Linked DNA regions of Canis lupus familiaris. The protein of the gene in region 2 interacts with the protein of the main gene of each other region in a pairwise test. Links are inferred from orthologs where the notes say so. Each region holds a gene or a part of one and is shown on either strand. Other genes may lie near its edges.

The links.
Region 1: the proteins of FKBP1B (region 2) and RYR2 interact in binary tests that used the Homo sapiens proteins (3 or more experiments, as listed by UniProt). The link is inferred for Canis lupus familiaris from reciprocal best matches to the Homo sapiens genes FKBP1B and RYR2.

What each region holds. Positions count from the first base shown.
Region 1 is NC_049225.1:3,460,574-3,476,355, reverse strand, and holds the start of RYR2 (ryanodine receptor 2), read left to right. Parts: upstream 1-5,692; 5' UTR 5,693-5,761; coding exon 5,762-5,809; intron 5,810-15,782. UniProt on the Homo sapiens protein: Cytosolic calcium-activated calcium channel that mediates the release of Ca(2+) from the sarcoplasmic reticulum into the cytosol and thereby plays a key role in triggering cardiac muscle contraction. Aberrant channel activation can lead to cardiac arrhythmia.
Region 2 is NC_049238.1:18,595,574-18,610,735, reverse strand, and holds FKBP1B (peptidyl-prolyl cis-trans isomerase FKBP1B), read right to left. Parts: upstream 14,782-15,162; 5' UTR 14,656-14,781; coding exon 14,619-14,655; intron 10,676-14,618; coding exon 10,628-10,675; intron 6,390-10,627; coding exon 6,277-6,389; intron 5,189-6,276; coding exon of another isoform or gene 5,144-5,188; coding exon 5,015-5,143; 3' UTR 4,538-5,014; downstream 1-4,537. Other genes in the region: SF3B6 (splicing factor 3B subunit 6), read left to right, coding at 507-645, 808-897. UniProt on the Homo sapiens protein: Has the potential to contribute to the immunosuppressive and toxic effects of FK506 and rapamycin. PPIases accelerate the folding of proteins. It catalyzes the cis-trans isomerization of proline imidic peptide bonds in oligopeptides.

The DNA.
Region 1 (15,782 bases), on a different chromosome or scaffold from region 2:
ATCATCTATATGCAGTTCTGTCCTGATCCTGGATACCTGAATGCTAATTATAGTCTGAGATTTCACAATTTTTTTTTTTTTTTTTTAAAGACAGGATTTTTTTTTTTTTAAAGATTTTATTTATTTATTCATGATAGTCACAGAGAGAGAGAGAGAGAGAGAGAGAGAGAGAGGCAGAGACACAGGCAGAGGGAGAAGCAGGCTCCATGCACCGGGAGCCCGACGTGGGATCCGATCCTGGGTCTCCAGGATCGCGCCCTGGGCCAAAGGCAGGCGCCAAACCGCTGCGCCACCCAGGGATCCCAGATTTCACAATTTTTAGCTCAATTTAGGGAACAGATAAGATAGTGATGATAACTTTCAAACCTTGAAAAGTTGATTTCCCTTAAGAACCCAAACTATAGAGGATAAGTTGGATTTTATTTCTGATCACATAATAATCCCTGCTTCCTTCTCCAGAGCCTCATCTGGCATTCTATGAGTTAGCAGGACCCCTACGATTGGCTTGAAATCAGGAATAAATCTCCTGGAGCTGCCAGAGCCTTTTTTTAGTTTGTGTTAGTTCAGACTTTTCTTTTGCTTTCTATGCTGGGATGGGGGAAGGCCAATAGCATGAAATAGTGACAAATTGCTCAGGTCTAGAGACCTCTGACCCTGGTCTCACCACTCAGCAGCTGTGTAATCTCAGTCTTCATTTAGCTTCTACAAACCTTGGTCCCTTTCTCTCTACAATGGCATTCCTGTAAAGATGGGAAAGGCAATAAAAATTTAGTCCCTGGAGCACAGTAAATGCTCAGTATATGAGCCTTTATCACCACTATCATCATCACCATCACCATCATCACCACCATCATCATTGCCATCACCATCATCATTGCCATCACCATCATCACCACTATCACCATCATCATTACCATCATCATTCTGACGCCATTCCTGACCACCTTGCATTAATGCAGCCCCAGAGATTCAGGCTATGCCCTCCGAGGATCTGCTGGAGTTTATTTTTAGTTCAGGTCCACATCAGAACTCTACTATTTTAGGGACACACATAATAAAGATGGAAATAAAATGGACATTTTCTAAAATATTGGCTTGTGAACTTCTAGAACATGATAAGAATAAATGCTGTGAAACCTTCCTCAGGTATTGAAATTGAAATCTGAGTTGAGGGGATCCCTGGATGGCTCAGCGGTTTGGTACCTGCCTTCGGCCCAGGGTGTGATCCTGGAGTCCTAGGATCAAGTCCCACATCGGGCTCCTTGCATGGAGCCTGCTTCTCCCTCTGCCTGTCTCTGCCTCTCTCTCTCTCTCTATGTCTCTCATGAATAAATAAACAAAATCTTAAAAAAAAAAAAAAAAGAAAGAAAATCTGAGTTGATAAGCAATGGGCTTAATCTCCAGATACTGGGGCCTTTCCAGTCCTGCATTTTATAAGGATCTAATGACAATTCCAGATGCTTTCACCTCAGCATTAGGGTCTTTAACTTAGGTGATCTTAACTGAAAGAAGCCAAATTAAAATGATAACACTGAGTATTTTAGCTCATTTTCTGTAGAAATCTTCAGCAAGAAGTTATTTTTTCTAATGCTTATATACATCATTGGTGAGATTAGTAAATTGTAAGCATAAATGAAATATCTTATTCTGTGTTAATGTTTTCTTCTTTAAGGCTGTCTAGAGTCCTGCCAAGTGAACAGTGGCCACTTTGAATTAGTTGACCATAGAAAAATTCTAATTGAAAATAAAAAAAGAAATATATTTTTTCCATCACTTGCAGGATATAACATTGGTCATAAAACACTTTCCAGATTTGGACTAAAATGCATGGAAATACCATTCTCTAAATTATTATTTATTATAATTAATGAAGTCCTAAAATGAGATATTATAGGAAACACATATGTTTCTATAGAGTACAAAGATTTCAATTAAGATGACAAATTTCAGTAACAAAAAAGCAAAATAAACTATTATATGTAATATGCACACAGTAAAAAAGAAACATTTTTATAAGAAATATAAAAAACAGAGATATTAAGAGTGGATGCTTATGAAAATTCTAAATATAATTTTTTTCTATTTTATGAACTATAGTTATGTAGCTGTGAAAATATGTATTTGCCAACTCCTTATAGCTTAAGTATACCATAAGAATTAAAGACATTGAGGGGCACCTGGGTGGTTCAGTCAGTTAAGTGTCTTGATTCTTGATTTCTGTTCAGGTCATGCTCTTGGGATCCTGAGATCAAGCCTGGCATTGGGCTCTGAGTTGAGCATGGAGCCTGCTTAAAGGTTCTCTCTCCTTCACTCTCTGCCTGCCCCTTCCCTGCCCCCAACATGTGCTTGCTTTCTCTCTCTCTAAAAAAATAATAAAGACACTGAACATAAACTTTAAGCTGTAACCAAAACGATTTCTTTTTCTCAATTAAAATTATATTTCAAATGGAGATTAGTTTTCATCCTATTGTTCTATGATATTTTCAGTCAAAACCAATTTTCTATGGTTGTTCACCAGAAGAAACTAGGAAATCATACATGAACTAAACAAACTAAAACAATCAGATTTTTAAAAAAGTTTTTATTTAAATTCCAGTTGGTTATCATACAGTGTTATGTTAGTTCCACGTGTACAATTTAGTGATTCAACACTTCCCTACATCACCCTGTGCTCATAATGACAAGTACCCTCCTTAACCCTCATCACCAATTTCCCCCTATCCCCCACCCACCTCCCCTCTGGGAATCATCAGTTTGTTCTCTAGATAAGAGTCTGTTTCTTGGTTTGCCTCTCTCTCTCCCTCTCTTTTTCCTGATGATCACTTATTTTGTTTCTTAAGTTCCACATGTGAATGAAATCATATGGTATTCGTCTATGACTGACTTATTTGCATAGCATAATACTCCCTAGCTCCATCTATGGCATTACAAAGGGAAGATTTCATTATTTTTTGTGGCTGAATAATAATATTCCTCTGTGTGTGTTTGTGTGCATGTGTACATACCACATCTTCTTTGGGCTGTTTCCATAATTTGGCTATTGTAGATGATGCTGATACAAACATTGGGGAACATGTATCCCTTTGAATTAGTATTTTTATATTCTTTGGGTAGATACTTAATACCATAATTGCTGGATCACAGGTTAGTTCTATTTTTAACTTTTTATGGAAACTCCATACTGTTTTTCAGAGTGCCTATACCAGGTTACACTCCCAGCAACAGTGCATGAGGGTTCCCCTTTCTTCACCTTCGTGCCAACACCTGTTGTTTCTTACGTTGTTGATTTTAGCCATTCTGACAGATGTGAGGTGATATCACATTGTAGTTTTGATTTGTATTTCCCTGATGATGAGTGATGTTGAGCATCTTTTCATGTGTCAAAACAGTTATTAAAAATACTGTAAGCAAAAAACCCCCATAGCTCTTAGTAACTCTAATAGTTTTCTTATAAAAAATTACCTCAATTTTTATACTTATGAAATATAGAAAACATATCAGAGTACCAAAAATAATATCACACTCACATACTCACCATTTGCTGTATTTCCTTCAGTTCTTTTAAAAATAAATAGTGTGATGTATCATTCTCCAACATGTTTTTAAACTTTTAGTGCAGGTTAGAGATCTATAAACCTCATAGTAGTGTATTTTTTGTGTTGAAGTCTACATAAATGGTATGTTTTACAAAAATCCTCTGCTCTGTTTGCTGTTGAAGAATTATTATATGGTGAATATTGAGTACTCAGGCCATTTAGCATTTTATCACCGATGTTGAGAGAATTAAATAAATCATAAATATGACTCTTGTTAGAAAAATGTGTAGCTTACCTAATATGCCAAAACGAAAAACTAGTAAACTAGAGTTTTTATATGTTACCCACTGTATGGGTAGAATGGAGTAATTCTCAAACATACATACATTACGTATGTTTGCTTTACACAGTTAAGAAACTATGTCTGTGTGGTTCTGCATAAAATACAGAAAAGCTCAATCTGATATGTCATAAATTTGGAAGATCAAATTATTTAACAAAATTATGAGCCCATTTCAGAATACTGTCGTCCCTCATGGAAGACTCTGATCTTTTGTGAGAACTCTGATTGCTCATTTAGAGGTTCCTAGGAGTAAAAATTCACGTGAATTGTAACGGTTTACTAATTTAGGTGTCATGGATCACTATCCAAGAATATGTCCGGTACTTAGGTAAGAGGACTAGTATCATTAAATAGAACAGAGCATTACTAGCCTTACCAGGGAGGGAAGTATTTATAGTACATTGTTTTTGGTATTAATTCTACCGGAAATATGCAAAATTCACAGAGCAAGTATAAAGTTGATGAAAGCAGCAAGTAAAATGTATGCTGCATAGAACACACGGGTAGATTTTAGGAACTAATTAGATGCGTCAAAACGTGTAAAATAGGTAAGCTGATGCTAAACCTTCATTCTACAGTTTCTTCATCTTTGTGGGGTTGACATTTGGAACTTTGCTTTGCATATACTTATCGTTGAGTATCTTAAGCGAAAGAGCTGTAGACTAGAAACAAGAGATTAGTGCTTTCTTGTCCAAATTGTCTCAGGCCCTGCATTTTGTTAATCACAGCCATTTGTCAAGCGCGGCGTGGTGGACGACACAGATATTGTTATTCATGGTAGGAAGCCCGAATTTCTTCAGAAATAAACGACTTCCTGGTGAGGATAACCGGTACCAGAAGATTCCTGGTGTCGCTCCTCGGCGATTCAAATGTATTTTACCCCTTCTTTATTGCAATTCGTCGTTGATTTGAAGTTTGCACTTCTAATCAAACTCTCTTGTCTGTCTGTCTTGGACCACAGGTGTCCGGCGCAGGGACTCACCGGCTATTCGCGGAACGCATTTGTTAAAAGTTCTGCGCACCGAGCACCGAGCACCGGGCACCGGGCACCGGGCACCGAGCACCGAGCACCGGGCACCGAGCACCGAGCCCCGGGCCCCGAGCAGCGATGACCAGCGCAAGGCGCGGCACGCGGAGGCCAGACGCTGCAGGATGCTCGGTGGGTCAGGAGTAGAGGAAATCCAAGTTCAGAGAGCCGCGTGGCGGGGAACTTGATTCGAGGTGACCCGCTCCGGGTGAGGGACGGCTCTGGCTGCCCTCCGGAGTCCGCGGCACTGGGCGCCCGAGAGCCGCGGCCCCCGCGGGTGGACGCTTCGCCCGAGGGCGCAGCGGGAGCGGGAGGCCGGGTGGGAGGAGCTGCGGGCCGGCGCGGGGGCAGGCGGCGGCTCCCCTCGGCTCCCCTCGGCTCCGTACCCCGCGCAGCCGGTAAGCGGCGCTGGGCCTCGGCTTCGGCGCGCCCGAGCGCGGGGCTGCGGACTACCTGCCGCAGAGGGGAGCCGGCGAGCTCCTCCCCGCGCCCCCGCCCGCCCCGCCCCCGCCGCGCCACCAGCCCGGGCTCCGCGGGCGCCGCGCACTCGCTGGCGGGAGCCGGGGCCGAGCGGTCCGCCGCGGCAGGCAGGGAGCCCGGGCCGGCGCGGCTGGGCTGCGGGGGCGCCCTCCTCCCGCGCGGTGCGGCGCACCGAGGCTCCTGCCGCGGCCGCCCCGCCCGCGCCTCCTCCCCCGCTCTGCAGGCGGGGACCGCCCGGCGCTCGCCCCCGGCAGCCGCGGCCCCCTCCGCCCCCGGCTCGGGGCAGCGCGGCGGCGGCGGCGGGAGGCAGCGCGAGGGGCCGCCACCGGGCTCCGCGGCGCTCGGGAGCCAGCCCCGGCGACAAGGCGCGGAGCCATGGCCGATGGGGGCGAGGGCGAGGACGAGATCCAGTTCCTGCGAACTGTAAGCGGCGCGCACCCCGCACCCCGCACCCCGCACCCCGCTGGCCCCGGGGACGGAGCACCGGCGCGGCGCCCTGCCGGGGCTGGGTGGAGCGGCGGCGGCCGCGGGGGCGGGCGGGGGGCGGGCTGCCCGGGGCTCCGGCGACGCCGGGCGGGGGCGCCTGGAGGGGAGCGGGGAGCGGGGAGCGGGGAGCGGGGAGCGGGGAGGGGAGGGAGCGTGTCGGTGCGCGGGGGGGCGCCGGGGACGGAGCGGGCGGGAGGCGCGCAGCCTGGGCCCCGGGGCGCGGGGGGCCGGCGGGGGACCCGGGAGCCGCGGAGCCCGGAGGAGGGGGCGCCGTGCGGCCTGACCCGCGGCGGGGCTGGCGCCTCCCCGGTGTCCTCGGGGGCGCGGGTGCGGACCGCGTGGGCCGCGGGGCTCGGGGCCGGCGGGGACGCGCGCTGCCCCGGGAATCCCGCCTCGGCGCGGTCCCCGGGCTCGCGGGCTCAGCCCGCGTCGGTCTGGCAGCCCCGGGACTCGCCTGCTTGGCGGGGAGCGCGCGGGGCGGGCGGGCCCCGAGGGGTGCGGGACGCGGCCCCGGCTCCCCGGTGGGCGGCTGCGGAGGGCGGGGGCAGCCCCCAGCGGCGCCGGGGCCGTGGTGCCGCGACCGCGGGGAGACGGAGTGTGTGTCTGCGCGTGTGGACGTGGGTGTGTGCAGTGTGCGTGCGCGCGGGGGCGGCGGGCACGTCGTGAACGTGTCCCCTGAAGGCTGGCTTGTTGCACGCCTTGTGCAGCAGAGCGCGTGCGTGCGTGCGTGTGTAAGGGCAGGCGGGGCAGCGGCCCCGAGTGTCCGCACGGGGGGCGGCAGGGGAGGGTGGGTTCCACAGGAATACGATGTTCTCTCCGCAAGCACCTCTTGGCCCTGCTCCTCCTCTTGCCGGTTTGCTCGGACGCTGCAGATACTTCCCAGGCCGAGGCGTCGCTCACCTCAGAGCTGGGGCCGAGCCTCTTGGCAAAAGAAAATGCTGTGACTTCCTGTTAAGAAGAACCGAGTTAGCATTTGCAGCATCCTTTCCGTCGTTCCTTCTCCTGCACTTGTTTCCTCGCTCGGAAAGATACTTCCTTCCCGGATTCCCCCCACCCCCGCGCGAGGACTGCAGCTTCTGCTGCCACTTCTTTACTAAACAGTGCAAAAGAGATCATTTCCCAATTGCCTCCATGGTGACGACAATTATGAATTTTGAAATCTTACCAGATAGTAACTTTTAGGGGTAAAATAGTGTAGATAATGTATTTGGGAGCTGAACAAGTGAAAATGGTGAATTTGTCCAAAACATTGTAAGTGACCGTTTTTTTCTTTTTGCTCCTCTGATTTTTTCAAAGGTATTCATTTTCACTTAACATCTGGGGGGGTGGGGTGGGCAGAAGAAAGCCTTTGGAAAGGACAAAAATCCAGGGTCCGCCTCCGATGGGGAATGATCTGAACTCTGGCTGCATGTTATGCACCATTACATATGCTGTTCCAAGTACTACTAGCCCAAGATCCAGCTCTGAAGAGCCTGTATGCTAAAACCTTGCTCATGGGGAATGTCATAACCCTACTAGTAATAAGAATTTTTTTTAAGTGAAAAACTTCTATAAGGTTTAAAAAAAATCAGGGGCGCATGAAAATATGTTTCTCCAAACCGTGGGATCTTTTGTTCAGGTGGACAAAATATTTAGTTGCTGTATAATTTTTAAATTCAGTTTCCCTACCCCCAAACTCTATAGGGTTAAAATCAGCTAGAGAATTTTGGAAGGCTTCATGCACTCAAGGGCTTCCTGCAGGCTCAAATGTTCAGCCAAACCTGGTGGAGGTGGTGTTATCAGAATACTTAACAGAGACCAGGGTAATGTGCTTGCTGATGGGGTTCTGCACATATAAAGTAATGTTAGGTCTGTGCCACTCAACAGCTGTCTGTCAGCCTGAACAACACCTTTGATAAGTGGGTCCTGTGTAGAGATCTGGCAGTCCTAGGCTGGGATTTTTCTTTTAGTAAAACATCCGTAGGTTGTGCTGATAATAAATGACCTTGAAGGAAGTGGCATAGTGGAGCAGGGGAATTTTTTTGAGTATAGCTGAACATCTCAAAGGAAAACATGTTTTTTCCTCTAAGTTTGGCAGTTTTATCTGGAAACACTCAGATCCTTTACCAGCTCCTCTGCCTCCTGCCCTTGTTGCTTTCCATTCTGTTTTCTTAACCTGAGAATGTGAATGGCTCAGAATTGGTAAATGGAATTAGTAACAGAGAGAATGTAGTTCTTACAATAAATTAATCTCGTTTTTATTTTTTCTGGAGTGTTCTTGTTTTTGTTTTGTAGTGTGCAATCTTGCAGTCCCGTCATTGTGAATTACTTCTTTTCTTTTTTTGTTTTCAAAGCAAATTGTCCAGGGAGTATTAACAATCTCCATGTTAGATAAAATAGTTTTAAGTTATAAATGAAGCCATTGTATTTTTAAAAAAAGAAAAACAGACATTAGGAGACCTTAATTGTGAAGCTGAGTGATCATTTCATACATCTGATTAGAGCACCTTAAGTATCATCTTGGAGTTTTGCACTGTAGCTCATTGACGCATCCTTGACATCCTGGCTACAGAAAGCTTTTTTCCTTCTTTTTCTAGAAGAGGTTTGTGATCCCTGTTAAAGGAAGCAGAGGTGAAATCTTTTTTTTTTTTCCAGAGGTGAAATCTTTAATGAACTATGTCCATGAGTTATGTCCACTGCTGTGAATTAATTCTTCATTTGTGAAGGGGAATTTTGTCACTGGTTAGTCCGTGCCAGACCCTCTCCCATCTCTTTTCTTTTCCATTATGCAGTTGTGAGTTTGCTGCTATTCCTTCCTTTCAAGTGCTTATGTAGATGAGACAGCTTTGACTCGGGCTCCCCCACCAGCTGGAAGCATTCCCACTCTGATGTGTTTATCTTTTAGAGGAATTGAGAATGTGGACGTGTAAATTCTGGATGTGCTGGGACATAATCCGATCATAAAATGAGCCCTTAGCCCATAATGGATATGTTCACTGTCATATCTCAGCATGCCCATGATTTGGAATGTGTGGTTGATTTTATTTTAAAATTTTCAAAAAAAGTTTTTTTCATTAACTTGTGTGTCAGCGAACTGTAATTTGGTATTTAAAACCATGGATGTTCTTACTTATGATCTCTCTTTTTCAAGAAACCTTACAAAATTTTATAGGAATCCTTAAGAGAACCACGATGTAAAATGACGTTGGGCCCAGGTCGATTTTTCCAAGAAACTTTCTTTTATTTGTGTAGACAAGTTGAGTTACTCTTGGTGTACACTTTGTCATCTAGTTTTTGTACTTAGGCATAGATTGAGATTGAAAACTGGATTATCAGGGGCTGCAAAAATCATGCTGATGGGAATGCTTTAGCTTCCCTCCGGCCTTCCTTTGCAGAACAAACTGTAGATTTTTTCACAGTGTGTGTACATCTTGCTGATAATGATACAGAGCATTTTAGAAAGCAGTCAGCAACTAATAGTAAGCATCATAAAGTATAAATGCCATGCACAACAGTGTAAAATAGATTGGGCCGGAATATTTAACCTTGTTTGTAAAGGTACAGGAAGGTTAATTGTACAAAGTCAGAGACTCAACCGTGTGGAAGTAAGATTAAAACTCAGGTCCTAGGCTTGTGTCCTTTCCAGGAGAGAAGGGCTGCTTCTCAGCCTTTCAAGAATGTTTTAGCTTTACAGCAAACAGGATACCTAATCACTTTTGTCAGCTGTAGGAGTACAAAGGAAAAGACTCTGAGTGAGCTGTGGGAATTTCCACCTTTTGCTCCCTTGATAATGAAGGCGTGAGGAGGAGCTTTAGATAGATATGCACTGTGGTGTTTTTTTCAAGGAATTGATGGAAAGCACACCCACGCTTACATAATCAGACTTTTTTTTTACTTAAAAATTGGTGTGTACACATTCGTGGGAAGGGCAGACTCAAACAATTAGGGCACTGATTTATTTGACATTCAGTCTTACTTATACTTGGGCTTTAGATAAGTGTTTCTATCAAGGCTGAGCTAGCTGAGCAAAGATTGCAACTTCTGGGGACTGTGCCTCCGTAGATAACCCTTGGAGAGAGGAAGAGGCACGTAAACACACATTTGCCTTCTGAAACTGTGACATTCTGGAAATTCGATGAATTCAGAAAAACGTTTGTTGAACACCTTCTGTATGCATGGTGTGATATTTGGTGTTAAGGAAGAATCCAAAAGAAGGAGAGTTGTGGTTTGCAATTATAGTCGCAAAGAAAAGGTTTAGGGGCTGGCATGGAACAATCAGGAGGACAAAACACATGTAAAAATTCTAGGACATTAGGGTAAAAAGAGACCTTTAGAGAATGCCACCTCGTCTACCTCTGTCTCCCTCCCCGCCCATCATTTTGCAGGTAAGGAAACTCAAGCGCAGAGAGCCAAGATGCTTTGGCCCAAGTGTCATACTCCAGATTCGCGGCTGTCTTGGTCACACTGCTAATACCATACATAGCTTGGTGGCCTAAACAGCAAACATTTATTTGTCATTGTCCTGGAGGTCAGGGAGTCCAGGATCAGGGTGGTGGCAGATGCATTGTGTGACTTCTTCCTGGCTTGCAGATGGCCATCTTCTTGTATCCTCATATTGCTGAAAGACAAAAATCATCTCTCCTGTGTTTCTTCTTATAAGGGCACTAATTCTGTTTCGTAAGGGTCCCGGCCTCTTGACCTACTGACCTCCTAAAGGCCCCACTTCCTAGTAGCACCCCACTGGGAGTTCGCATTTCAGTGTATGACTTTTAGGGGATGCAGACATTCAGTCCATGGCATGGAGTAACACAGGAGGCATGAAGAATCTCTGAAGAACTGTCAGGAAGGTCACTCGCAACACCCCATTCTTCCTTATGGGGTAGATTCAAACCCACTGTCCCATTTTATCCTTATCTTCCCCTTCCCAGGGTTCACTGTCCAAATCTGCTCTGTCTTCCCAGCCATTGACCAGGAAGCTTCTTTCCTTCTCGAAAGTTGCAGCTTCTTAGCGTCCTAGACCCCAGGGCTTGCCTCCGGGTCCAGGACTGGACACTCGCAGAACGTGTTCCATCCTCTCTTTGCCTCCCTCAGTACTGGTCCCTTGGTTGATCTTGAAGCACAGTCATTTCTCCTACCTCACAATTTCTGTGTTTGACCCCAGTGCCTCCTTCAGCTGCTCAGCTCTTCCCAGTGTGGTCTCCACCCCTGCTTGTGATTGCCAAGCCTGGCACATTTGGAGTCATTTTTATACTTTCCTGTTCATGCTTCTTGGAATTCTTTTTACTTCTTTTGCTCCAAGATTGCTTATCCCCAAAGATCCTCTCCCATTTCCCGTTCTGTCTCTTCTGCCTTTGTGAGCTCATCTGTGCCGCAAAGCTTGGGATCCTTGGAATGAGAGTTTGAGAAGATGTCATGATGACCTCACCCATCCTATAATTTCTCTGAGAGCCAGAGAAATTATAGGAACTTTCTCGAAGTCCTTCCTTCCTATGGGAGACACCCACCACAGATCTTATAGTCCTCAGCCCCTTATTTCTAGCTGTTGGCGGCCTTTGTTTTGACTCCCTTCCTACCTGTGGATACACCATCCTGAGCTCACGGGTACTCAGTCCCCTGAGTGGCTCTTCATCCCGGTGACTCTGTGTTGGTCAATGGCACTGCCATTTTAGGCTCTGGCCCAAACACACCAGTGTGGCCCTCATCTTTAGAAGCCCTGGGTCTGGGATCCCTGGGTGGCGCAGCGGTTTGGCGCCTGCCTTTGGCCCAGGGCGCGATCCTGGAGACCCGGGATCGAATCCCACATCAGGCTCCCGGTGCATAGGGCCTGCTTCTCCCTCTGCCTGTGTCTCTGCCTCTCTCTCTCTCTGTGTGTGTGACTATCATAAATAAAAATTAAAAAAAAAAAAAAAAGAAAAAAGAAGACCTAGGTCTGAGGCCTTTCTCCACCAGTACCTAGCTTATGTACTTGAGAAAAATTTAAACATTTTTCTTACACCCTAAATATAATATTAGGCATTTCAGAAGGACTTTTGAAGATCATGGGATAGAATTTGTGTGGAAAACCAATTCCAGTGTCTGCCTCATGGTAGATACTCCATGCATTGCTTGAGCTCCTTTATCCTCCTCCTGTAGCTCATTTGGCATCTTCTCCTGTGCTGTTTTCCTTGGCCTCTAGCTCAGATTTTGATTTCTTTCATACCCCATTACTTGTTCTGACCTCCATCGTCCCTCGGCCCCAACCAGCCACTAGCAAAGTGCCTTGAAGCCTCCTGCCATTTGAATCCTCCTAAAACCCCATGTTCATGCCACCACTCCTTGGTTCCCTATTCCTGTCTTATCCATTGTAACCCCTCTGCTTGGCTCATGACCATCTGTAATCTGATTTTTGATAACCTTACTTACGTTCCCCATCCTGCTGGAGCTTTTGGATTGCTCCAACCAGTTCTGATTTTACCTCTCTGAGACCATTTCTCAAGCGCCCCAGTTCCACACATTTTATCACTTATCCACGGCCCTGATTTGGGTCCCCTGATGCTCTGTGGGAGGGTTGCCACCGTGTTGGTGTGGGGGGAGGCATTCATTTCCCATGATGCATAGCACAGCATTGCCTACAAGGATAGGTTTGAGGGGAGTAGTATGGTGATGGAAGACCAGGATAAGAGAAAGGTTACCCCCCGCCCCCTACTCCCTCAATTAAATGTGAAAACCATGTGAATGTGTTCAAGTGCAGAAAGAAGGAATCTGTGATGAAGGAAGTAGGCAAAGGGTGTGGGCGAAAGAGTGTTAGTGAGATCCCTCCTAGAGGCAGGAGAGTAGGAGGTAGGTGGTTAGGCTTGAGAGGAGGAGAGAGGAGGTGTGGGGATGAGACAGGCTGGCTTGGTTGGCTGTGTGAGGGCTGCAGGGGACCCTGGGCCAGCTGGGGAGGGCAGCTAGTGCCAGGCATGTGAAGAACATCTGAGAGAGGGAAGTTATTAAGACAAGTGACCTAAGGAGAGAAAGAGTAAATGAAGGCTTTAGGAAGTCTGAGTGATTGGGGCTGCCCAAGAGAGACACTGAGTCCCTGTCGGGATTTGTATTTCAAGTGAGAAGCTTCTAGATAGTGAGGTAACTTCCAGGGCATTGCAGCGGCATCCATTGCAACACTTATTTTCATCACTGTTAATCATGGGAAGAACACTGGAACATGAGGGGTTGTGTGACTTTGGGGTCGGAGGTGTCCTATAAAAACTCTGGGAAAGATTGAGCTGGAACTTAGCTCTGAGGGGCCCTCTGAGTTTGTTTCACATTTGCTAAGAGTTGTGAGGGTCAACCAAACTCAAACCATGTAGAAGGATGAGAATAAGGAAAAAATATTGCCCTTGTGTTAGAAGTGTATATTTTTTTTTGGGGGGGGGTCTCTGAAAATTCTTATCCTGGTAGATCACAGGATTAGTCAGTAACTAAACTCCTGGAGAACTTCTTTGCTTGTGTTCTCTACTGTCTTAACTTCAAAGGCCTTCCCTGGCTTCCTGTTACTTGGGTCAATGAACAAGTATTTTTGGGGTTTCCTAAAACATTCTAGTTGGCCTCAAAGCCCAGACAGAAGGTGGATTTCCTGGTTCCTGTGGCCCAGTAAAAGTTCTGTAGTGAGGTTTTTGGCAATGAAACAAATCGGGAGTTTTCATCACTGCCACTAACTTGGAGTGTTCAGAGGACCTGCCTCTAATTGCTTCCAAGCTCACTCACCCAACAGGGTTCTCCCCAGGGTAAGGGACTGAGAGAGCCAGAGCCACTGGCTGCTCCCAGTGAGACCTCCGCTTAGTGGCTGGGTGAGGGTGTCTGCTGTCACCCAACCGTTGATGAGTATTGGCCGGTTTACCTGAAGACCGCCTCCCATCTAGCTGGGGAGTGACGTGGATGCAGGGCAAGGGGACTAAAAGAGCAGAAAGTGCTATCGGAGGTTGTGGGACAATGGTGCCTTGCTGGGTCTGAGTGTCCGGGAGTGCTGTGAGTACACACCTCACACGCTTCTTAATGGGCATGGGGAATTCATGTGGGATTGCTGAGCCGGTGACACAGCCTCACACACCCCCATCAGCACAGCTGGAGGACCAGCTCAGCGTGGCCGGTTTATTTTTTTCTACCACAGCAAACACTTTTTTTTCATTACAAAAGTTTATGATTCAGAAAACTTCTTGCACGCTTTTTCCACTTATGACGAAATTTTAAAATATTTTATTTCCCTCTGAATTTAGAATCTGTCTTTGAATGTTCGCGTGAACCCATGAATTTCATTTGCAATTTAACACATAACCAAAGATACAAAGTAAAAGATATGGTTTGGGAGGACAAAGAAAAAAGTAAGAGACCAAAAAAAAAAAAAAAAAAAAAAGAAAGAAAGAAAAATTACAGGAAAAACCAAATCCTAGAGTGTCGAGTAAGCTGGAACATTGTTAGAATCAGTACTGTCACATTGAGTTCGCAGCCATTAAAAGTTGTGCTCATTTGTTTTCTACAACGGGCTTCTGGTTAGCACACTACAGGGAATTGTGATTTAACTTCTTTGAGATTTCACTGGAGTTTATATTTCTTTCACATTTGAAGACATTTTAAGAAATTTTGGTCTCCCACATATGCAAAACCCACTCACTCATTCTCCTGAGAGAAAGATAGCATTCCATATTTCTTTTAACCAAATTTTGACCCTAACGTGAAATTCTCTAAAATTAGTTTATGGATGGCAGTGAAATGTTGGTCTCTGTTACTGCTTCTCGTATTTTGGATGTCTTGTTTTTGTTTTTTGAAAGGAGTAAGTGACAGGGTCTGTGGTGAGCTGGCTGGGAGAGGTGCCATTTTGATGGCAGCAGGGCCAGAGATACAACAGCACCATCCCACCTTTTTTTTTTTCTTTTCTTTTCTTTTCTTTTCTTTTCTTTTCTTTTCTTTTCTTTTCTTTTCTTTTCTTTTCTTTTCTTTCTTTTCTTTTCTTTTTTTTTTGAGGTTGTCTGCGGAGAATTCTTAGGGACAACTGAAGAGTTCTAGAGGCTGACAGAAGTCATCTAAAGTGATGGTGGCAGCCCGGAAGGGGTAACCATCTCTCCGGTATGATCCGGGGGCCAGAGCTACTTTATATAGTTACTTAACTACTATTGTTACTGGCTTTATTTCTGGCAGGTTTATTTTTATTTATATGCATTGTCCACAATGTCTGCTCTAAGTATTTTACCTGTATTTTCTCATGAAACCCTCACAAAAATCCCTCAGAGGTAGAGACGAAGAAGTTCCGTCACCTGCCCCCTGTTGGCAGGTCCAGGCCATGGAGCTAGGGTTTCCGGTCCAGACAGGTGACTCTGGAACTTGCACACTTCAAGACTCTGTGGGGTCTCTTTCTGCTGTAGGTTAATGTATTTTAACGCAGGAGGGAAACTCGATGCCATGCTTTTCTCTGCGGGAATGTACTTTATAATATCGAGTGTGAATTTCTTCAACTACCAGCGCCTCACAGGATATGTATCACATGACAGGCACTCATTAAATGTTTGTGGAATTGAATTGAACTGATTCTTTGAGCCAATATTTCGATGATAAATACAAAATAGAGCAATTGCATGCAAAGTTTACTAGGTTATCCTTATTCAGGATGCACACACTGGGAACTCAGTTTGTTGACATCATGATACCAGATACATGGGAGATACTTAGAAGGTAGAAGATGGTCCCGTAGAACCGAGGTGTCAAAACAGTGGAGCCTTGTACACATCAGCTTGGGAGCAGTAAGCTCATGGTCCTGGAGGACCATGGGGTCTGTGTAAATTCAGAAAGGACCAAAGGTGAAGAGGTAATGAGCATGGCCATAATGGGGGGCTGAAAGACTCACCTTCCATGGGGTGGGGTAGGTGGCCATAAAAGCAGATTAGACTTTACATAAGATATAAAAACAACACAAAAGACT
Region 2 (15,162 bases):
TACTGTCTTTTAAAGACAATACTGTTATTTAACTATCAGTGCTCTGGTAAATGTGTATTTTTTTCCACAGATTTGTTAGTAGTTTATTTATAAAGAGAAACTATTCCATAGCTCAGCATTCATAGTTCAGGAACACAGGTCAGGGACAAATTTCCATGGAACTCAATCCAAAGAAATTCTTTACATTCCAAAATCACTTTGCATTCTGGAAGATACCAGCCTTTTCATCTCCTCAAACTCTTTCATGGAATCATTTCTGTAGAAATCTGCATATCCTCCTTTCTTGGTTTGACCACAGGAAACTTCTAGAAACCTGCAACCCTCAGGGAATGCTCCAATAATATGAAATCGCAGATGCTTGGCCAGAAGGCCTCACATCTGAGGTTTCATCAAAGCACTGGAGGTCATGGTAGTTATTCTCCTCAACACTCAACCTCAAACCCAGCCAGCATCCTTCCTATCTTGAATAAATGTGTATTTTAATTAAGTCTTATTTCACTCCGCAGGGGGAACACACCTGAAACTAGAGGAACAGCTTATGTGGTCTATGAAGACATCTTTGATGCCAAGAATGCATGTGATCACCTTTCAGGATTCAATGTTTGTAACAGATACCTGGTGGTTTTGTACTATAATGCCAACAGGGTAAGTATTAGCCACAGTCCTCATTGCAGGGGGAGCATGTTAAGAATTAATATACCGGAAAAGGAAGAGTATACTAGGAATTCTTGTCTGGCTAGTGCTATTGGTAAAATTCATTTGATTATAGATCAGTAACTGTTAACTTTGGTGCTTACCACATTTCAGGCATTTCAGAAGATGGACACAAAGAAGAAGGAAGAACAGTTGAAGCTTCTCAAGGAGAAATATGGCATCAACACAGATCCACCAAAATAAATATTTTCTGCATTTTCATTTTAGACTACATCCCATAAATGACTACCATCACCCTTTTCTTGTTTTTAATTAATGCTGAATGTTGTGATTTCTTATTCAAGATTCAAAAGGACCTACTTAAAACTTTGATACATTTTAAAATATGTTATGTGAATAAACTTGTAGCTTTTTGTAAAACTTGTAGCTTTTGTAAAACATGTCAGTGTTTTCTCTTAAGCTTCCTCTCATTTGATACCGGAAAACAAATTAGCAGTCGAACTGTATCAAGAATTGTTTGGTGGTAGTGACGCCTGGGTGGCTCAGTGGTTGAGCATCTGCCTTCGGCTCAGGGTATGATCCTGGAGTCCCAGGATTGAGTCCCACCTTGGGCTACCTGCATGGAGCCTGCTTCTCCCTCTACCTATGTCTCAGCCTCTCTCTCTCTCTCTCTCTCTCTGTCTGTCTCTCATCAATAAACAAAAGTACAATCTTTAAAAAAAAAAATTGGTGGTAGGTGGTCACAGAGACCATGCTTCTTAAGAGCAGGGAACTTTTTATATTCTTAATGCCTCTGATGTCCAGTTTAGTGCTTAGCCATCAAGGGAAATTTTTAGAGTGCTATCATTTGTTGAATGTTAACAACTCAGTGAAGGTATTTTGCAGATAAGGAAACCAAAGCTCATTGTATTGGTTGGATGAATAAAATGTTTACATAAAAAGTTGATGTAACATCAACCAGTATTAACCACATCAATATATTTAAATAATAATTGCCTTACAGTTAACAAAACACCTTTGTCAATATGAATACCCCATCCTTAAAATAGAAGTCAGTTCTAGAAGTGGCCATTCAGATGACAGCACATTGTTAGAAATTTGAGAGCATGCTTCTTGGGTAGTGGTGGAAGTTGTTACAAGTCTAAGATTGGATTATGCAGTCTTTTCCTTTAGGTAATAAGTGTCTATGGATATCTTGGTCCTTAGCTCATAGTATATCTTTGCCCTAAATAGAATATTTAATGCTAAAAAAATTTTTAAAAAGAATATTTAATGCTTATTCTTATAATCATACGCTCCCATGGCATTGAAATAGTATGGTTATTACCACATTCATCATAGCCTGGCAGCTTGGAGGAGATAGCTATAATTTTCTTTTTATAGTTTAGGCATGGGCCAAATGGAAAAAACATGGACCAATTGTTTTGTATATAACTATAACCCAAAATCAATTTGAAGGGTACAACCACTGAATCATTTAAATGGACAAAAAACATCTGTTCTACTATTTAAATGCTAGCTTTGATATCTATGCTTGCTTTATTTTTTTTATGCTTACTTTAAAATAATATGCTATTTTATACTTTTTGTACTGTCTTCTCAAAGCCTGCTATTGAAAATGAAGAACTTCTTTATTATGTCCATGCTTTTTGAAAGCACTGTAAGACTAGAAAGAACTATTTCTAAGAAGGGCAAGGAGATAATAAAGGAGCCATAGCTTTTTCTTCTGAATGCTTTTATGAATTCCTTATTAATTTGTGTAATTCATGCTGTGCCTTTAGGTATTTACCAATGTAAAACTAATTTTCTAAAAGACTTTTTTTGTAAGAGGAAAACAGACTTCTAGTGTGTTTTGTCTAAGTGGCAGACTGGCTTGCTCTAGTGCAGTTGTTTTAAGTTAATAACAAGGGGAAATTGCTTCCACTGACAATTATGACCAGTCCCATCATTTGGATTAGTACATCTGTTAGCTGAATTTCATGACCTAAGGCTGAGTTTTAAAAATTTCAATTGTCTGGGGCGCCTGGGTGGCGCAATTGGCTGAGTGTCCAACTCTTGGTTTCCAACTAGGTCATGCATGATCTCAGGGTCGTGAGACTAAGACCCATGTTGGGCTTGGCTCTCAGCATGGAGTCTGCTTAAGTTTTTCTCTCCCTCTTCCTCTGCCCCTCCCTGGTGCACATGTGTGCACAAGCGCACTCTCTCAAATCTTTTAAAATATTTTAAACATTAAAAAATTCCAATTTGGGGGCACCTGACTGGCTCAGTAGAGCATGCAACTCCATCTCAGGGTTGTAAATCTGAGCCCCACACTGGGTGTAGAAACTACTTAAAATCTTTAAAGATTCTAATTGGCAATTTTGTGGCCTGTTACACTTAAGTTATAAGAACTTGAATTCTGGAGGATCCCTGGATGGCTCAGGATAGCGCCTGCCTTTGCCTTCAGCCCCATGTGTGATCCTGGAGTCCTGGGGCTGAGTTCCATACCGGGCTCCCTGCATGGAGCCTGCTTCTCCCTCTGCCTGTGTCTCTGCCTCTCTGTGTGTGTCTCTCATGAATAAATAAATAAAATCTTTTAGAAAAATAAAAATTAAAAGAAAAAGCACTTCCAATTCTCATTTCTTTTCCTCCATCTTGAAGCAGAGGAATATGGCCAGGACTTTCTGGAGACAAAGGGAGTAGATAAGTAGCCAAGATGTTATGGATGCTCATTTCTTTTCCTCCATCTTGAAGCACTACTCCTTAACTCCTCAGCAGAGGAATATGGCCAGGACTTTCTGGAGACAAAGGGAGTAGATAAGTAGCCAAGATGTTATGGACGCATATCATATGTATGACATAGGACATGTACCAATGAATCTATGTGGGAAACTAAGTACTAACCTACCAGCCTCTCCTCAATCTTAATTTCAAATCCTCACTGATAGAATAACCCTATGACTAAGAGCTTTTCTCACTTATGTCAAAAGAAAAATCTTAGCCACATTGCCCCGGACTCCTCTGACAAACACACAACCAGTAAGTGGGCTGATTTTAAAACCTAACTGAGGGGGATGGCTGGGTGGCTCAGCAGTTGGGCTTCTACCTTTGGCTCAGAGTGTGATCCTGGAGTCCCGGGATCGAGTCCCACATTGGGCTCCCTGCATGGAGTCTGCTTCTCCCTCTGCCTATGTCTCTGCCTCTGTGTGTGTGTGTCTCTCATGAATAAATAAATAAAATCTTAAAAATAAATTATAATAATAAAAACCTAACTGGGAATTCCCATAAGTTACAGTAAATATAGATGAAAATAAGCAGTATATGCATAAACAAGTTCAGAATCATACATTCTTTTCAGAAATCATACCCCAGTGTAAGAGCAAATCTAGATGAAACTAAGTAGTAAATATAAAAACAAACTCAGAATCACACATTCTTTTCAAAAGTAACTTCCCAGTGTGAGTTAGTATATGGCTCCAAGACCTAACCCACTTCATTTGTCCAGGCACAGTGTTCCTTTCCTTCTGGGCGAGGTGAAGGAACTTGTCCCTCTTAAGTCCAAACAAAGAGAGACTGCAAGGTCACATACAGTGCTCAAGTCCTATGTTGGGTTGCTAGGCTATGAGGTTTGAACACAATATATTCCTTCAGTTATTCAGAGGAGAATTCTGAGCCTATGAGGCAAAGGGCAAGTTAATACCTTGTAGGGCTGCTTAGGGGGTTGGTGGCAATTTTATTTAAAAACACGTTGAACAAGGCCCAGCATGTACAAAATTCACATCATAGCTATTATGTTTATTATCATTCCTGGCTATTTGGAAGGCTCCTTTCTACTCCTTCCCAAGGGCAACTGGTTTATGCAGTCCTTAAAGCACTTCCTTCCTATAATAAGGATGGACAGGAATTTGTCAAGCACAGAGCCTTTATTTTACATATCATTTCCAAAGAGGACATTGTGTAAGTCAGCAGCCAACAGAATTTGTAAGAGAGAAAGTGACAGCAAAGGTAACTGGCTCAAGTCCCTCTGTGTATACCATGTACATTTCACGTCTGAGCACCTTGTGTGTCTGGCTTAAGTAAGGCAGTGTAGATTGTGCGAACAAGAAATCTGTATTCTGTGATCAGAAATGGCTACTACATGCATCACGCAAAATGCACAACCTGAAATGTTTTGATCTGCAACCAAAGTTTCCTCAAGCAAAGATGTGCGTAAACGATGAACACATACAGAGCAACTTGGTCAGAGAATGGATGATGCTGTGGGGCAGTGACGTTAGCGCACTGATCAAGAGCCCCAAGCAGGAGGAGCCGTCCCAGTGGCAGAGCAGGCTGGGAGGGTGAGTAGCAGCCATCTCCAGCCACCTTGCGTTCTTTCCTGCCTTCACTCTAGGTTGAGCAGCTCCACGTCAAAGATGAGGGTGGCATTGGGAGGGATGACACCAGGGTGGCCCGTGGCTCCATACGCCACATCGGGGGTGCAGGTCAGCTTCGCCCTCTGCCCCAAGCTCATCTAGCAGGGATGGGGGCAGATGGGAAGAGGAGAAAGAGGACCCAGCTTGATTTAAAAGAAAAAAGTAAGATAACTATGGCATTTTCCCAAACCATCCTCAAGGTAACTCTGAAGATCTGAGATGAATTTTCTATGTTCACTTCATACTGAAGTGATGCAGAACTCAGATTCTGCCTCAGACCAGCAGAGACTTCACTGTAGGACAATAACATCCACAAAGTAGTCCCAAATTCATTCATGCAACGACCATTGCTGGTTATTCAATTAGCGCATGGCCCCAACACTTCGATTTGTTCATTATTGTTCCTGACTCTCTTCCAAAAGAACCTAAAGAGGGTGTATAGAGAGCGCATGTACTGTACACTTTCCAGGAGGTAACAAGAGCAGTCCATTAAAGACATGAAGCAATCAGAGGCCATCACAAGGTCGGGAAGGCTAAGAGAGCTACTCTAACAGAGCATGGTCTGTCCTCAGAGACCAAGGGAGAAGAGCATGAACCAGGGCTCATCCCAGCAGTCATCAACAACACCTGGCGCTTGTGGGACAACTGGTGAGATTTGAATAAACCGATTTTTAAATTTTGAATAATAACCAACTCAAAAATTTGAATGGATCACTTGATAGTACTGTATCCATGTTAATGTGCAACTGATCACAAATTAATGTAACCTGATCATTGTACTATGGTTATGTAAAATGTTAACATTTGGGGAAACTGGGTAAAGAATATATGGGAACTATTTCCGTGATATTTTTGCAAGTCTGAAATTGTTGGTTTTTTTTTTTTTTTAAGTTAAAAACAAACAAAAAAAACCACCTTGGCCTCCCCCATCCCAAGTCTCCTGCTGCGTCAGTCCCAGACAGCTGGTAGCTCACAGCCCTCTGAAGCTAGTTTTGAGCAGGCCTGGAGGGATGTGCATGGAATGAGAGACCCCAGTGACTTAAAGGGGTCATGCTGGCAATGAAAGGGAAGGGGTGGGGGGCACAAAGCCAAGGACTGAATCTCGATGGTGTAACCATGCCCCGGCAGTGGAGTCAAAGTGGCAGCGGTCTGTGATAGGTCAAGAGCAGCGTACCGAGTCCGGACTCTTGACTCCTCAAATCCCCCCTAATGATTAGAATTCCCATCCTACCTGGGCTGCACCCTCTTCAAAACCCTTGATGACTTCCTGTTTGCCAATTCTGAACTTGAAAGGTTTGTTTCTGTCTCTGGATGAATCAAATTTCTTCCCATTTTGGAGCATTCCTGTGAAAGCAAGAAGAGGATGGAGAAGAGCTGTGGTCATGAATTAACTCCCAGGTCTGGGTCCACATGTCTAAAATGGAATTTCTGTTCCGCACAAACCAGTGCCTCTTCTCATCTCTCCACCAGTTCTGTTGCCCAAGCAAGCAACCCGGATACTTCTCTCTGCCTTACCCCACATAGAGCCTATCACTAAATCCTTCATCATCTCTCTACCTCCTCCATTTCTACTGCCACTGGCCTGTGACTGTACCATGTCACCATCATGTCTCACCTGCATAAGGAACGCCCTCTAACTGGTCTTTCTACTTCACTCTCACTCCTCCATTCCAGTCTCCACACTATACCCAGAATGACTGTCTTTTACAAACATATATAGGATATTACTCCCTTGCTTACAATACGTCAATAGCTCCCTGTGGCAGCTTCCAAATGCCTACACTGTACTTCAAGACCTGGAGACTGCCTGCCTGATAACCTCTCTCTGCTCTCCCTTGCCTTTCCTTCCCACCATGTCCTATTCAGGTCACACCTTTCTCAAATACCTCTGCACTGTACAACCTTTACTGGTTTTCACAAGGTCCCCCAACATATAAAACCCAAAGGCCTTATCACCCCTCCTGCAAAGAACAGAGCGAAGTGACCCAGTCATTGGTGGACCCCAGGAAAAGGGCCGGTTTGAACCAGAAACACTGATGCTGTCTCCAACAGTAGGGACCATCCCTGAGCTTCCAGGGGTAGTTGCTTTGTCATCTCTGAAGTACAAATCCTGTGTTATCCTTGCCGCCTAAGGCTCAAGAGCTGTGTTTCTGTTTTTAGTTCTTATTGGTGATTGGCTCAAAGATCAGACCTTCTGTAAACAATGGTCTTCCAAATATTTCTCCCTGCAGCCCTCAGACCACAACAAAAGGCAGTTTGAGACCACAGAAAGATCTGGCCTATAGATTGGATTCTGACTTCATTCTGGCACAAAGTCATTGTGTAAAGTTAGGCAAATCACTTCCTTTGTCATGGCCTCAGATTTGCCATGTTTAACATGGGAGGTCTGGATAAGCTTAGTGTCTGAGCATCTCTGACTCCACTTCCTAATTCCTACCATTTAAATGTATATAAGGGAGAGTCTCATTTTCTTGCTTTCTGGGTATAATGAATTGGACTCTTGCCCTAGGTATGAAATCAAGCAAAGGAGAAAATCCTGTGGCTACACAGATGGATACTAAAGAGATCAAATACAAACTCATGCACAAATACAGGTTGCTAAGATATTCAGACACACAGAGATACTCACGGGCACTTATGCACACACATTCAGAAGAAAAATCCTAATGGTGAAACAGATGCTAAGAAAATATTTAAGTCCACGAATCTACATCCATTCACACAGACACATACTTGGACAAATACACACATATGGATAAGCACACACACACACTCCCTTTGAAGAGTGGCTTTCTCATTCCTCAATTTTTTCAGGTTTCATATGACTCAATATACTTCAGACCATATACAGTTATCTACTGCTACAAGTTCAGCCAAAACCATGCAGCCCAGAAACAGACCCACATATATATGGTTACCTGATTCAACAAAGGTGTCACAGCATTGCAACAGATAAAGGATTTCTTTTTTAAGATTTTACTTATTTATTCATGAGAGACACAGAGAGAGAGAGAGAGAGAGAGAGGCAGAGACATAGGCAGAGGGAGAAGTAGGCTCCTCACAGGGAGCCCGATGTGGGACTTGATCCCAGGACTCTGGTATCACACCCTGAGCCAAAGGCAGACACTCAACTGCTGAGCCATCAAGGCATCCCAGGATGATTTCTTTTTTTTTAATTAATGTTGCTGGGTCAATTGCATATCCATATGGAGAAAAAAAAATGAATCTTGACCCCTATTTTATGCACACACAAAAATCGATTCCAGAGGAATCACAGACTTAAATATGAAAAATAAAATAATAAAGCTTTACAAGATAATAAACAGAAGAATGTCTTCATGATCTAGGGACAGACAAAGATTTCTGAGCTGAACACAAAAGTACTAACTATAAGGGAAAAGATCGATACATAAGACTTCATTAAAATTAAGAACTTCTATTAAAAAAATGCCATTAATAGAGTAAAAAGACAAGCCCTGGCATGGAAAGTGATTAGAATCAGTACAGCTGGGATCCCTGGGTGGCGCAGCGGTTTGGCGCCTGCCTTCGGCCCAGGGCGCGATCCTGGAGACCCGGGATCGAATCCCACGTTGGGCTCCCTGCATGGAGCCTGCTTCTCCCCCTGCCTATGTCTCTGCCTCTCTCTCTCTGTGACTATCATAAATAAATAAAAATTAAAAAAAAAAAGAAAATATATTAAAAAAAAAAAAAAGAATCAGTACAGCTAACAAAAGACTCATATCCAGAATATATAAAGAATTCCTGGGGTGGCTGGGTGGCTCAGTTGGCTAAGTGGTTACACATCTGACTCCTGATTTCTGCTCAGGTCATGATCACAGTCATGATCTCAGGTCGTGATCTCAGGTGAGACTGAGCCCTGGGTCAGGCTCTGCTCTGGGTGTGAAGCCTGTTTTTAAGATTCTCTCTCTTCCTCTTCCCTTGCCCTTTCCTCCTCCTCCCCTGTCTCTCTCCCAAATAAATAAATAAATCTTAAAAAAAAAAAAAAAAAAACCACTCTCACTGACATAATATTGAGTAAAGTAAGACAAACCCAGAAGAATACATACTCTATGAGTCCACTTATATGATATTTAATAACAGGCCAAGCCAATCAATGGAGACAAAAATGTGACTGCTGGTTACCTTCAGGGAGGTGTAATGACTTGGGGGAGGCATGAGGGAGATGCCTGCAGGTTCTGGAAGTGTGTTGATCTGGGTGGTAGTTACAGAAGTGTAATCACTTTGAAAAATTTCATGGAACTGGACATCTTGGATTTCTGTTCTCTACTGTATTTATATTTAATTTAAAAATTTACCAAAAAGTCCCATACTGTCTCTGGCTGGGTTTGATGAGATGATCCCCCTCCCCAAACCAGAGGCACTCATGGCTCTTAGTGTTTAACGCACATTGCCTGCTCTCTGTATCTACTATGAAAGTCTTTGTAAAAGGGTGTTGTGGTTTTAGTAACTTGATAAGTACGAGTCTGTCTACAACATGTAGAACAGATAAATCAATTACACAGGTCAGAGGCCCCAGAGGACTCATGGTAATTAGGCCACATCACCGGGAGATAAAACAGCTCTAGCGCCCTGACGTCAGCGACCCGCAACACAGCTGTTGAGAAATACCCACACTGTCTGCCTAGATTTAACCTGGCACTTCACACTGGCCCAGAGAACTGCTAAAAATGGCCCCATCTGAATACGTCCTAGGAATTAAACTGGCCTTGCTGTCTGCTAAGTGGCTGTCACCAACTTTGCCACATTGGGAAACAGGTCACAAGGCAGAGCACTCGCCCCTCTTGGAACAAATACCTGCTCGTGATCTTCCTGCCAGCAGTCCTCAGGAACTCCAACTAGAATGTTCCTCAGCCCACCTGATCTTCCAATACAGAGCATCCAAGAGGGATCAGCGAGATGTGGGCCCTCCTCCAATGCCCACAGTACCCTGAGACAGGCACTGCTGTCACCACCACCCGCCCTGGCTCTCACACTGCATCAGAGCCTCTGGATCACTGGTCTCCCCCACTTCTCATAGCCCCAAAGAAGGAAGGAATCCTCTCTATTCATCTGTGTATCTCCAGTGCCCAGCATAGCATCTTGCACACAGTAGGTGCTCAAAAATAGTAGGAGAATTGGATAGTCTATTTTTGAAAAAAGAAAAGAAATGCTGAGGAGACCAGGGGCCTCCTCTTCTCTAATAATATTGTAGGAGTAAAAAGGAGTCCGCAGGGAAGATCAAGTCTCTCAAAGCTTTAAGAAGGGATTTCTAAATATCAGACAGAACCAGGAAGGCCGGGCTCCATGCTGCCCACAACAGAGGGAAGAGAATGGAGGTGGCTGGCTCAGTTAGAGGCTAGCTCCAAGGATGGTACAAGTGTGGAAGGGGTAATCTTGCAAGCCTCCTTTCCCATGCCCACAAGACTGACTTGAGAAGTGGGGGACAGCCGGTCAGAGGGAGACTTGGCTCTCTTAGGGTTTGGGCCTGATCCAGGGAGCAAATATCTCTGGAGGGGAGTATCAGAAGAGGGACCTCTTTGGGAGGGGGAGGTCTGGGTGAAGTCTGAGGGAGCAAAGCCTACCTGTGTAGTGCACCACACACGTCTGTCCCTTCTTGGGGAATGTCCTTCCTGCAAGGAGACATGAGGGCAGATGAATGAATAACGTATTGGAAAAAGTCACCTGGGACATTCAGCCCAGAGGTCTGGCCCACATTCCCCTCCACACCAAGGAGATGCCCATGGTGCTAGTTCTGGCTCTGTGCCTTGTATGAGCCAGATCAGTCACTTCACCTCTCTTTATGTGATTTGAATTTTATTCCCTTGGGTTCCTCAATTCCACTCTCTCCTCATTATTCTCCTTTCTTTGATTGCTCCTTTTGCTTTCCTTCATCCATTCCACAAACATTTACTGGACTAGATTCCAGAAACAGAGCAATCTATGAACTCATGGTGAAGTCAGGGAAAGAGACACATAAATAAATGATAGATTATAATGCAGGATAATGACTGCAATCAAGGATTAATAAGCATACTCATTCACAAATATTTACAGAGTACCTACTATATATAAAGCCTGGGCCTAACTTCAGGGCTACAGTAGTAAACCAAACAGACAAGATACCTACTCCTTTGGAGTTACATTCTAATAGAGGGAAACAAACAGGACTCAAATAAACAAGACAGTTATAAATTATAATAATTCTCTAAAGGAAATAGACACAATGACAAGTTAAAGAGAGACACACAATGAGGGCGCCCGGAGGATCCCTGGGTGGCGCAGCGGTTTGGCGCCTGCCTTTGGCCCAGGGCGCGATCCTGGAGACCCGGGATCGAATCCCACGTCGGGCTCCCGGTGCATGGAGCCTGCTTCTCCCTCTGCCTGTGTCTCTGCCTCTCTCTCTCTCTCTCTCTGTGTGACTATCATGAATAAATAAATAAAATCTTTAAAAAAAAAAAAAAATGAGGGCGCCCGGGAGGCTCAGTTGGTTAAGCATCTGCCTTGGGCTCAGGTCATGATCCCGGGTCCTGAGATTGAGTCCCACATCATCAGGCTCTCTGCTCATCGGGGAGTCTGCTTCTCCCTCTGCCATCCCCAACCCCCACTCCACCCCATGCGCTCACACTCATGCTCTCTCTCTCTCTCTCTGTCAAATAAATAAATTAAGTCTTTAAAAAGAGAGAATAAGGGAGAGAGACACAATGGACAGACCACTTTAGAAAGGACCATCCAGGATGGCCTCCAAAAAAAAAGGTGACATTTGGGCTGGATCTTGAAGGATGAGCAAAATGCTGGGAAAAGCACTGCAGGAAGAGGCAGCTGCAAGTGCATAGACCTTGAGGTAGGAATGGATTGGAGCATTTGCAGAATAGAAAGAAGAAAGCTGGGTGACTGGAAAGAAGGGAGGGAGAAGGAGACAAGTAGGAAAGAGCAGGATCATGCAGATCATGCCAGACATTGGACATCGTGGAGCTAGATTTAACTCCAAGCGCAATAGGAAGGCACTGGAGAGTTTTAAGCAAAAGGATGACATAATCTGAATTAAGATTTTATAAGATCACTCTGGCTGCTGCCTGTAGGATGGACGATTAGGCGCCTGTTGCAATAATCCAGACAGGAAATCAATTATGGCTTGAATTAACGTGGTGGCAGCAGAGAAGAGAGCAAAATAGATACGTTTGGGAAACGGGGCTGACAGAGTACACTAATGGAACGGAGATGGGGTCCAGGAGGAGGGACAAGGAGAAATCAAGTACAATGCTTGGGTTTTCAGTTTGGGCAATTGGACGTATGGTGGAACGAACTAATTCCAGGTGGGGAAGACTGGGGAGGAGCAGATTTGAGCAGTTGGCAGTCTTGAAATGCCTATTAGACATCTGAGTTTATATTGCAAGTAGGCAGATGGAGGGTCTGCACTGGAGGTATAAATCTGGGTGGAATTTAAAGCCACAGGCCTGGATAACAAATCTTTGGGAGGCAAACAAGTGAGCCAACATGTAGAGGACTCTGTGGGAGTCCAGGAAAGCATCAGAGAGGAGATAAGGTTAAACCAGATCTTAAGAGATGACTAGTTTGCCAGAGGAAGTTAAAGGAGATAATCTGGGAAGAACTGATGACACATTCAAAGGCCTGGAGTCTAGCACTAGTGGGATCCCTGTCTGGCTCACTGCTGTTAACCCCAGGGCCTAGCACATAGTACATGTTCAATAAATATTTGCGGAATGATTGATGTGTTTTAACAACTTTGCAGGAAGCTTGCTGAAGCTACAGAAAAAGGTGGTAGTGGGGGTAGGGGCTGTAGTAAGAGACTGCCCTAGTGTGGAAGGTAAGACCAGGCTAGATTACTATCTGTCTGAGAAGAAAATGGAAGATTCATTAAAGCACAAGGCACGGGGATAAGGTAAGAGGGGAGCAGAAGGGAATGGGAACCTAAAATAGGCATTTTAAAGACTCCTCAGGCTATGGTGTGGAAAATAGGTAGTGAGTTAGGGAGGCCAGATGGAAGGCAGAGAGGTCAGACTGGATGTGTGGAGACCAATGTAGAGGATGTGCAGAAAGCCTGATGAGAGACCATCATCTGAACCAGGGCAGGGGCTAAACGGATGTAGCCTAGAGAATTTCAGCAGAAGGACCAAGTCCTACCAGACTTGCTGCGGGGCTTCACTTAGAATGGTGCCCCCAGCCTAACAATACAGTAGCTTGGCCCTTCTATGCCTTCTTGACTCAAGGGTTTAGACTGTTAAAGCAGAAGGCCAAAGTTTTTTCAGGCTTTCTCGAAAAATCTAATCTCCCTCAAAAGAAAATGGCCCTTGTCCTTGGCCAGAAAGGGAGGATAAGCAGAGAAAACTCTAAAGGCTACTTTGAGTCAGGGGAAAAGAGAAGAGGCCTCCAGCTCCCTGGGAGATCTCAATGGCAATTTCCCTGGGGTGTGACAAGGTCTCAGAGAGATGCTTCCTGGGACCCAGCACTATTGTTCTCAGTGGGGGCAAAGAAGCCTGTACCTGCAGGGTGACAGGGATCGGGACTGGGACCTCTAGGGACCACTGCCTTTTAACAAGGAGGGTGGCCTAGAACCAAGAGGTCTTCCAATTTCCTAGAGAGGGTGGGGGTTGTCAGACATGTCTCACATGAAGTTTGTCTGTCAAATTCTGCAGAAACGGGGGCTCTGGACTGGATTAAGTGTCATTTAAAATTTTTTAAAATAAGCTATTCCTTGCACATCCAGACCCAATTATACAAGAGATGTCTGGCTGGGGAAAGTGAGTGGTGCCGCTCCTGACGGGGGGGGGGGGGGGGGGGGGGGGGGGGCAGGGAAAAGGGAAATACAGAGGAGTGCTTGGGCGTGGGGAGGACAAGGAGCTCGAGTTGTTTTGGACTCGCTGAATTAGGTTTCCATGGGACATCCAGGTAGAGGTCGAGCAGCAGCTGGATAAATGGGTCGGAGATCTGGGCTGGAGGCTTAAGTTTGGAGGCCATCGGTTTGCAGACGGTAATGAAAGCCATGGGAGTGTACAGGATGGCTGGAGAGGCGGAGTGGGGCGGGGAGGATAAAGCAGGATGCAGAGGCGGCGGAGGGAGCGCTTCTTCCTCGCAGACGGGCTCGGTCCCCCCACAACGTCTCCCCGCCCAGCCCACGGGGGCCGCGGGAGCCGAGGCCCTCAGGGGGGCGCGTTGGAAACGGGTTGCCCCAAGAAGGGAACCCTTCCAGCGGTCCCCGGAGCTCACCTAGCAGGGCAGGGAGAGCAGAGCCAAACCCCTGCCCTGGGAAATTAGCAGCGGCAGACAACTGAGGGGCTCCCGCGGCGGCGGCGGCGCCCGAGGCCCCCGGGGCGGTGGCGGGCCCAGACCCCCGCCTGCGGCCGCCGCCTCCGACGCCCTAGGTGAGCCGGCGCGGGGAGGGGGGCGGAGGGTCGTCGGCCAGAGCTCCGACAGTGCAGTCTGGGGTCTCCCCCGCCGCCCCACCCTGCGCCCGCCCCCGCGTCCTCACCCTCCGCGCCACCTCCGACCCAGACCCCCGCCCGCCCGGCTCCGCCCCGGGACCCTTCCTCCTCCCCCGGCTCCGCCGCCCGGTACCGTCTCCCGGGGAGATGGTCTCGATCTCCACGCCCATCGCAGTCCCACTGGCCCCGCCTCTGAGGGTCCCGGCTGCTGCCCCGACCCCGGCTCGGCTGCGGCTCCGGCTCCGGCCCCGGCCCCGGCCCCGCTGGCGCTCCGGCTCGCCTCCCCGCCGCCACTGCAGAGCCGGAGGAGGTGCGGCGGGAGTCGGGACCTGCGCGGGGAGGGGCCACGGGGAAGGGGGCGGCGGGGCGGAGCGGGGCGGCGCGGAAAGGTGGGGTCGGCTGGGGCGGGGCCCGGGGAAGGGACCCCGGCGCCGCGGCTCCCGGGCCTGGCCGGGCCGACCGTCGTTCACGGGGGTGGGGGGGGACGGAGGGGGAGGCAGAGACCCCCGCGCATCTACGCACCCGCCGGTGCAGCCACCCCTCTATGCATCCGCTCATCACAGATTTATCTAGCATCTACTCTGTGCTAAGCTCTGGGGAGTCAACCCGGTCCCACCGACTAGGCGAAAGCCAGCAACTAAACCAACACTTTAAATAGATGCGCTCACTGCCCTGGA